Linked DNA regions of Elephas maximus indicus. The protein of the gene in region 2 interacts with the protein of the main gene of each other region in a pairwise test. Links are inferred from orthologs where the notes say so. Each region holds a gene or a part of one and is shown on either strand. Other genes may lie near its edges.

Evidence for each region.
Region 1: the proteins of MIA2 (region 2) and TTC23L interact in binary tests that used the Homo sapiens proteins (3 or more experiments, as listed by UniProt). The two-hybrid records come from large-scale screens. The link is inferred for Elephas maximus indicus from reciprocal best matches to the Homo sapiens genes MIA2 and TTC23L.

What each region holds. Positions count from the first base shown.
Region 1 is NC_064820.1:39,871,904-39,875,655, reverse strand, and holds the start of TTC23L (tetratricopeptide repeat protein 23-like), read right to left. Parts: upstream 2,684-3,752; 5' UTR 1,830-2,683; coding exon 1,777-1,829; intron 1,497-1,776; coding exon 1,422-1,496; intron 1-1,421.
Region 2 is NC_064828.1:51,521,858-51,525,609, reverse strand, and holds the start of MIA2 (melanoma inhibitory activity protein 2), read right to left. Parts: upstream 2,266-3,752; 5' UTR 2,228-2,265; coding exon 2,113-2,227; intron 1-2,112. UniProt on the Homo sapiens protein: Plays a role in the transport of cargos that are too large to fit into COPII-coated vesicles and require specific mechanisms to be incorporated into membrane-bound carriers and exported from the endoplasmic reticulum.

The DNA of each region.
Region 1 (3,752 bases), on a different chromosome or scaffold from region 2:
CAACATGGTAACCACAACCCACAGATGACTACTGAATACATGAAATGTAGCTAGTGTGAGTTCAGTTGTACCATAAGCATAAGACACACACTAGATTTTGAAGACTTAGTATGAAAAAAGGATACAAAATATCCATCAATAGTTTATATGATACTATTTTAGATATATTGGGATAAACGAATTATAGTATTACGATTACATTCACCTGTTTCTCTTTATTTTTTCTATGTGGCCACTAGATTTTAAATTATTATCTACGTGGCTGGCATCTGTGGTGTGCATTATATTTCTTTCGTACAGCACTTGTACGGCTTAGTGGTTCTCAAGTGGGAGTGATTTTGCCCTGTGGATTATTCTGCAAAGTCTGGTGACTTTTTGGTTGTCTCAATTGGGGGAGATGCTACTATTATCTGGTGGGTAGAGAATAGGGATGCTACTAAACATCCTATAATGCACAGGACAGGCCTCAAAACAAAGAGTTATCCAGCCCGAAATGTCAAAAGCACCAAGACTGAGAAACCCTGGTATAGAGGAATAGTTAATGGACTTTGGAGTCAGACTGCTCAGTCTGAATACCACTTATTAGCTGTGTGGCTTTAGGTAAGTTGCCCAGCTCTCTCTGATTCAGATTCCTCATCTATAAAATGGGGTAACAGTACCTTCCTCATATGGCTGTGGGAATTAAATGAGTTAATATGTGTAAAGTATTTAGAACAGTGCCTAGTGCATAATATGTGCTCAACAGCATTAGCTAATATGATACGAACAATTGTTATTTACTCATCATCTCTTTATTTCATGAAACTGAATTCTAATTTACTCATTAACTGTTATATACAATGCTCTCTGACTTCACTGATCTTGTTACAACTAACTCAATCTTTACTTTAAAACACTTAACATTCCCTTAAGTTAGGAAAAAAAATTATTTTCCATTCTGCATTGGTTGTACAAGTACAAATGGGTTTTACAGCAGACTTGTTATAAAAACACACTGCAGAAATGGGGGAGGAACAATTCAGAAAAGGCAGGTGAGAACAGCTGCACAGCTTGAAGAATGTAATCAGTGTCACTGAATTGTATGTGCAGAAATTGTTGAATTGGTTTAGGTTGTGCTATGCATAGTTTTAACAACAACAACAAAAAAAAGTATAAGAAATAATGATAGGGAACTCCCACCAGTGACTCATCCGCAAGGATATGGTCTTGGCCTTAAATTGTAAATTGGTGTAGAAATATAGTCGTGTCCTAAGTTAAAATAAAATGCTTAAAGTACAAAAAAGAAAAAGCCTACATCACAGAGGCTCAACCTTCTCTTCTACAAACTGTGCATACTAAGCTTCTCACCCAGGTTTGCCTTGAGAGGAAAGCCCCAGTGTTTCAGACTGGTGAGTGTGACCTCAAGGCTTTGTAGTACTTACAAATGGAAGCATGAGTCCCAGTCACTGTCATTGTTGACGGTTGGAATGCGGATGGGGCTGGCTCGCATCTTCTTCCTACCAAGAAGCACAAGTGAGGCCAGCGTGGCCAAAAACGCTTAGAAGCTTCTTCTGTTTTTCCTCTATTAGATGCTGTTAACATTAAACTGAAACTGCCCAAATATACAACCCATCCTAAATCCACAAATAGATTACACACATTCATGTACGGAGACCCTTGGAAAGCAGAAATTAAACAGGGTTGCTAAATTAAATTTCATTCTCCGAATTTCTACTCCACATTACTTCTCCAAAATCTTCAGCCTTTTTTCTCCTCTTAAAAATCAAACACATTTACCTATTTACAGCATATTTATTTACATACAGCTCCTGGATCATCAAAACTTCCATCTCCTACGCCAGTCAGATAATGTTTTTGCAGGTATGAGAGCAAGCTGGATCCAAGCAAAGCGCCAGTTCTCAAGTACAACCAAAGTATGGTCAATGTACAGGTCAGTTCCCTTCCTTTTCCTGGGGCCATTTCACTATTCAATAAAAGACCCTGGTAAAGAAGCTAAAACTCGTGTCTATTTTGGTTCTCTTGTGGGCTGATGGGGAAAATTGTCGGAACTCATGGAGAAAAATGTGGTTTCTCTCTTGCGAAATTCAACTCTCATGGCTATCCCTGTAGCTTAAACATCAAACCCAAGTCGAATGCAGTTATTTATTGAATATTAAGCCCACCAAGCCGCTCCTCATTTCACCCTGCAGAACGTCCTTTGTTCCACCTGAGTCCTGAGTCGCTCTCTCTGACTCAGGCTCCGGAATATCCACAATCTGAAAATCGGAGAGGAAAATTTACTAACTTCTCTTTCAGAACCATGACCAGGTCGAAAGGGTCTGACCTCTTAAACTCCTCAACTCTGTTCCCATGAGGTTCCACACAACCTTTAATTACAGAACCAAATTTTGACCCCTCTCTCAAATACAGATCCCTTCTTCCTTTTCTGCTGTTCCGCAGCAACTTCGTGAATCCTGACGCCACAACCTCCCAGCGGCTAGTTGTCCGAACTCCTCCCAGCTTCTTTCTGGTAGGTGGTGCTCAGCCACAGAAGTTCTAACCCGATCAGCGGGGCGACCTCGCCGGCCAGGCCAGGGTTCCGCTGCGTACCTCGCCGGGGCTCGGCTTCCGAGGGCGGCGTCAAGCTCCCGGACTTGGACGAGCTCGTTCTGTCGCTTTGCGGTAGCGAGACGCTCTGCCAGGGATGCTTTTCTCCTAGGCCTCCCGGGCTCGGCCCCGGAGACAATGGCGTTGCCATGGGAACAGTACGCTGCGCTCGCGTTCGGAAGTGGAGCGCCCGCGCCCGTAGTCATGGTACCGCAGCGCACTTCCGGCCCTGGGGACTCCGAGCCGCTCCGGCCAATCGCAGCACACATAGCTCCACCGGGTTTCCGGTCCCCGCGGGCGTGACGCACGCGTTTTGAAACTGGTCTACAAACTTGCTTCCCTCCCTGTGATCCGTCCACTGTTGCTTTTTCTCGAAGGGACCCACCTAGGTGAAGGCGCAGGTAGTGGAGATACGTTCCGTCCAAGAAGCGCCCGATTCCGTGACCCTACCTCTGTAAACCTGCAAAGTGCGCGGGGCTGTGTCCAGCGACACCCTCTCCTCGCCCCCGTCCCCCCCCCCGCCCCCCGCGCTCTCCTTTACGTGCACCCTGCACCTCCACAGTTTCCCGAGTGCTCCAGCTATTCGGATCCCAGAGGAAAGACTCAGCTTTAACTGTCCATGGTGGTGGGGTCACTTACTGTGCTACCTGTTTCATTAAGATTTCAGGGATGCATGGTAGGAGAGCAGAAGACAGGAAGTAAGCATTAAAAATGGATCACTAGTTCAGCTAATGGTTAGCATTCAGAGAGTTTTTTCGAGGGGGGACGCACATTTTTGGTGAACACCACATAGACCTAAGTTACGCAGCCGTATATTCTTTTATCATCACCCCGCTTCAGTGGCCTGAGATACATAGTCGTACTCACTCAGATTGGACAGGTGTAAGAAGAGGGATTGTGCCATTACTTGCAGAAGTGACCAACATGCCCAAAGAACCGTACCTTCTCTGGCAGTCTTGTTATTAAGGGTGTTACGAACTTTGAAATGGACTAGCCCTTTGACAAGTCAAGTTGAAGCTAGTATGTCTGTCTCATTTTCAAAAAGAGAAGAAGCTGGTAGAGAAGGAAAATATTTACTAAGAACCTAAGAGGTGGTGTCTGTTCTTCCCAGTTCTAGGGTTGAAGTTTAACTGCTGTTGATCCAAGACTGCCAAGACAGCCTTTTT
Region 2 (3,752 bases):
AAAATACATATTCTTCCCTGAGAGACCGAATTACTGGACTGAGGGCTGGGGGCCCTGGTCTCAGGGTACATCTAACTCAACTGGCATAACATAGTTTATAAAGAAAATGTTCTACATCCTACTTTGGTGAGTAGTGTCTGGGGTCTTAAAAGCTTATGAGCAGCCATCTAAGATACTCCACTGGTGCCACCCTATCTGGATCAAGGAAGAATGAAGACAACCAAAGACACGAGGGAAAGATTAGTTCAAAGGACTAATGGACCACAACTACCACAGCCTCCATCAGACTGAGTCCAGCACAACTAGATGGTGCCCGGCTACCACCACCAACTGCTCTGACAGGGATCACAACAGCGGGTCCCAGACAGAGCTGGGAGATGAAGAGAAAAATGCAGAACAAAATTCTAGCTCACAAAAAAAGACTTGACTTACTGTTCTAACAGACTGGAGAAACCCCTAGAGTATGGCTCCCAGACACTCTCTTAACTCAGTACTGAAGTCACTCCTGAGGTTCACCCTTCAGCCAAAGATTAGACAGGCCCATAAAACAAATTGAGACTAAATGGGCATATCAACCCAGGCATAAGGAGGAGAAGGCAGGAGGGTCCAGGAAATCTGGTAATGGGGAACCCAAGGTCAAGAAGGGGAGTTGTCGACACGTCATGGGGCTGACAACCAATGTCACAAAACAATATGTGTATTAATGTTTAATGAGAAACTAATTTGCTCTGTAAACCTTTATCTAAAGTACAATAAAAGTAAATAAATAAAATAAAAATATATATTCCTAACACCAATTTCCAAGGTCCCTGGTGGCACAATAGCTAAGTGCTCAGCTGCTAACAGAAAGGTTGGCAGTTGAAACCTACCACCAGCTCTGTGGGAGAAAAGATCTAGAGATCTGCTTCCATAAAGATTTCACCCTAGCAAGTGGCCATCTAGGATACTCCACTGATCTCACCCCTTTGGGAGCAAGGAATAATGATGAAAACTAAAGATACGAGGGAAAGATTAGTCCAAAGGACTAATGGACCACATATACCACAGTCTTTACCAGACTCAGCCCAGTACAACTAGATGGTGCCCGGCTACCACCACTGACTGCTCTGACAGGGATCATGATAGAGAGTCCCGGACAGAGCTGGAGAATAATGTAGAACAAAATTCTAACTCAAAAAGAAAGGCCAGACTTTCTAGCCTGACAGAGCCTGAGGAAACCCTGAGAGTATGGCCCCCCGACACCCTTTCAGCTCAGTAACGAAGTTACTCCTGAGGTTCACCCTTCAGCCAAAGAGTGGACAGGCCCATAAAATGAAACGAGACTAAAGGGGCATTCTAGCCCAGGGGCAAGGATTAGAAGGCAGGAGGGGACAGGAAAGCTGGTAATAGGGAACCCAAGGTTGAGAAGGGAGAGTGTTGACTTGTTGTGGGGTTGTTAACCAATGTCATAAAACAATATGTGTACTGTTATGAGAAACTAGTTCTGTAAACCTTCATCTAAAGTACAAAAAAAAAAAAAAAAAGATTTCATCCTAGGAAACCCTACGCGGCAATTCTACTCTGTCCAATACAGCTGCTAAGAGTTGAAATAGACTTGACAGCACGAACAATAACAACTGATTTCAATATTTTTACAAAATAAATAAATACAGAAACAATTGCTGTATGATAAATTTTAGAATGAATAAATCATGATGGTTTGAAATAAAAACATTTTTTGAAAACAGGAAAATTCTGATTCTGAAATAGAAACTAAAAAATATAAGGACTTTATATTTATATTGGTATGAATAGCCTATTCATACCAATTGATTATATTTATCTTAAAAAAAAAACAGTAAAACGGCTAATTTGTTTTTGATACATAGACTAAAACCAATAAATTTGCTGATATATTTATATGTCAGACTACTCTTTATCCATTTGTATATTTACATTTAATACTATCACAAAATGCCTTGCTTCCAGCATTTTCTTTTTATACCAAGCTGTAGTTTATAATTGCAAATATTCTTCAATATTAATGCTCATTCTTATCACACACATCCACAATTACACTAGATGTCATTTCAGAGCCTCAATTTAAGAGGAAAAGAAAAAAAGCAAACTTACTTTCACATTCCAAGTCGCCACAGTTTTTAAGGTCTGTCAACAGTTTTGTACTCTCCAGACTCTTTGTCAAAGAAATAACCAAAAGAAGGATTCTGTGAACTCCGAGATTCGCCATGCTAAAATGAACAACCAGGAATTCAAAATGAGCTTTAAACTGATTGTTCAGGTGGTAGATATGCCAGGCAAAACAGAAGATACCCTACTTTCTTCACTAAATATAAGAGAAAAAAAATTGAGTTTTTTTTTTTTTTTTTAATTCTTGGGTAACTACATTTTTTTCTCTCTTTTTAGTCTTAACTTGAGAGACAAACACTGTTCTCAATCTGCAGTGTCAGGTATCCAGATAACACATAACAGTTTAATAATTAACAGGGATTTTTAGTTGGACTAATGTCTTTATAAAGGTGGCCCAGTAAAACTGTCTCACTTAAAGGCACACTGCATACAACAGGATAGTTCTTAAACAGTCCTCCACGAAAAGGTAATCTCTGCCTAACGAAGTCTAAGGAAGATCAGTCAACAAGTATAAACTGAGTATTTGCTGCATGCAAATACCATCATCAGTGGAGAAAGTATATAGTTATATGTAGAAACAGTGATAACTTGTTAAAAGCACAGTTTTTGAAATACCATGATGAAAGTTATTTAAGAAAGCACCCGAATTTTCATATTAAAAAACCCTTCAGTGTTACTGTGAAGGTGAAATTTGTATTTCCTTAAGAATAAAAGGTAAAATGTATTAAGTACTTTGTTTCAGGCGGAAACCCTGGTAGTGTAGTGGTTAAGTGCTATGGCTGCTAACCAAGAGATCGGGAATTTGAATCCACCAGGTCCTCCTTGGAAACCCTGTGGGGCAGTTCTACCCTCCTATAGGGTTGCTGTGAGTCGGAATCAACTCAACGGCAATGGGTATGTTTCAGGTGCTATTTTAAATATTTAAGTGTATGATCTCATTTAACCCTCACACCAACTCTTTGAGCTAGGCAATATTATCATCCCCATTTTTTCATATGAGGAAACTGAGGCACATGGAAATTGGTTAAATCACATGCCCAATGTCACTTACTGAGTAAGGGAAGAAAAATTCAAACCTAGGCATGGTGACTCCCTATACCCTTAATCACTGTGCTTTGCCACCAAGGATCAAGTCATCTGCCATGAAAGATGTCCACTCTGTCTCCAACAATACTGTTCCAGAAACAGCAGCTACAGTATTAATTCAGGTTTTAAAAAGTATATATATATATGACAGAGAGAGATGTCCAAAAGAATGCTCCCTAACACTGTAGGAGTGTGTAGTGTGACTTCAGATGGTATTCACTTTCTTCTTCCTGTTTTTCCATATTGTTTGACTTTTTTTTAAATCAGTAAGCATGTATATTTTAAAATAACAATAAAGCTATTAAAATCAAGTCATCTGAATGTTACTGCCACTTCAAAAGAATCAAAGCCCTGTATTGGAAGCTTATGTGTAAAACAAGGTATTAGTAGATTGGCAGAACCCAGTTACCTGATTTCAAACTCAGGAAGGTATTCTTCTAAGCCTTTCTTTGCTCTACGTTTTCAGTGTGTTTGAGCTTGCTAAAAAACAAAACAAAACAAAACTCACTGCCATCTAACATGCACAAAATCTGTCTGCA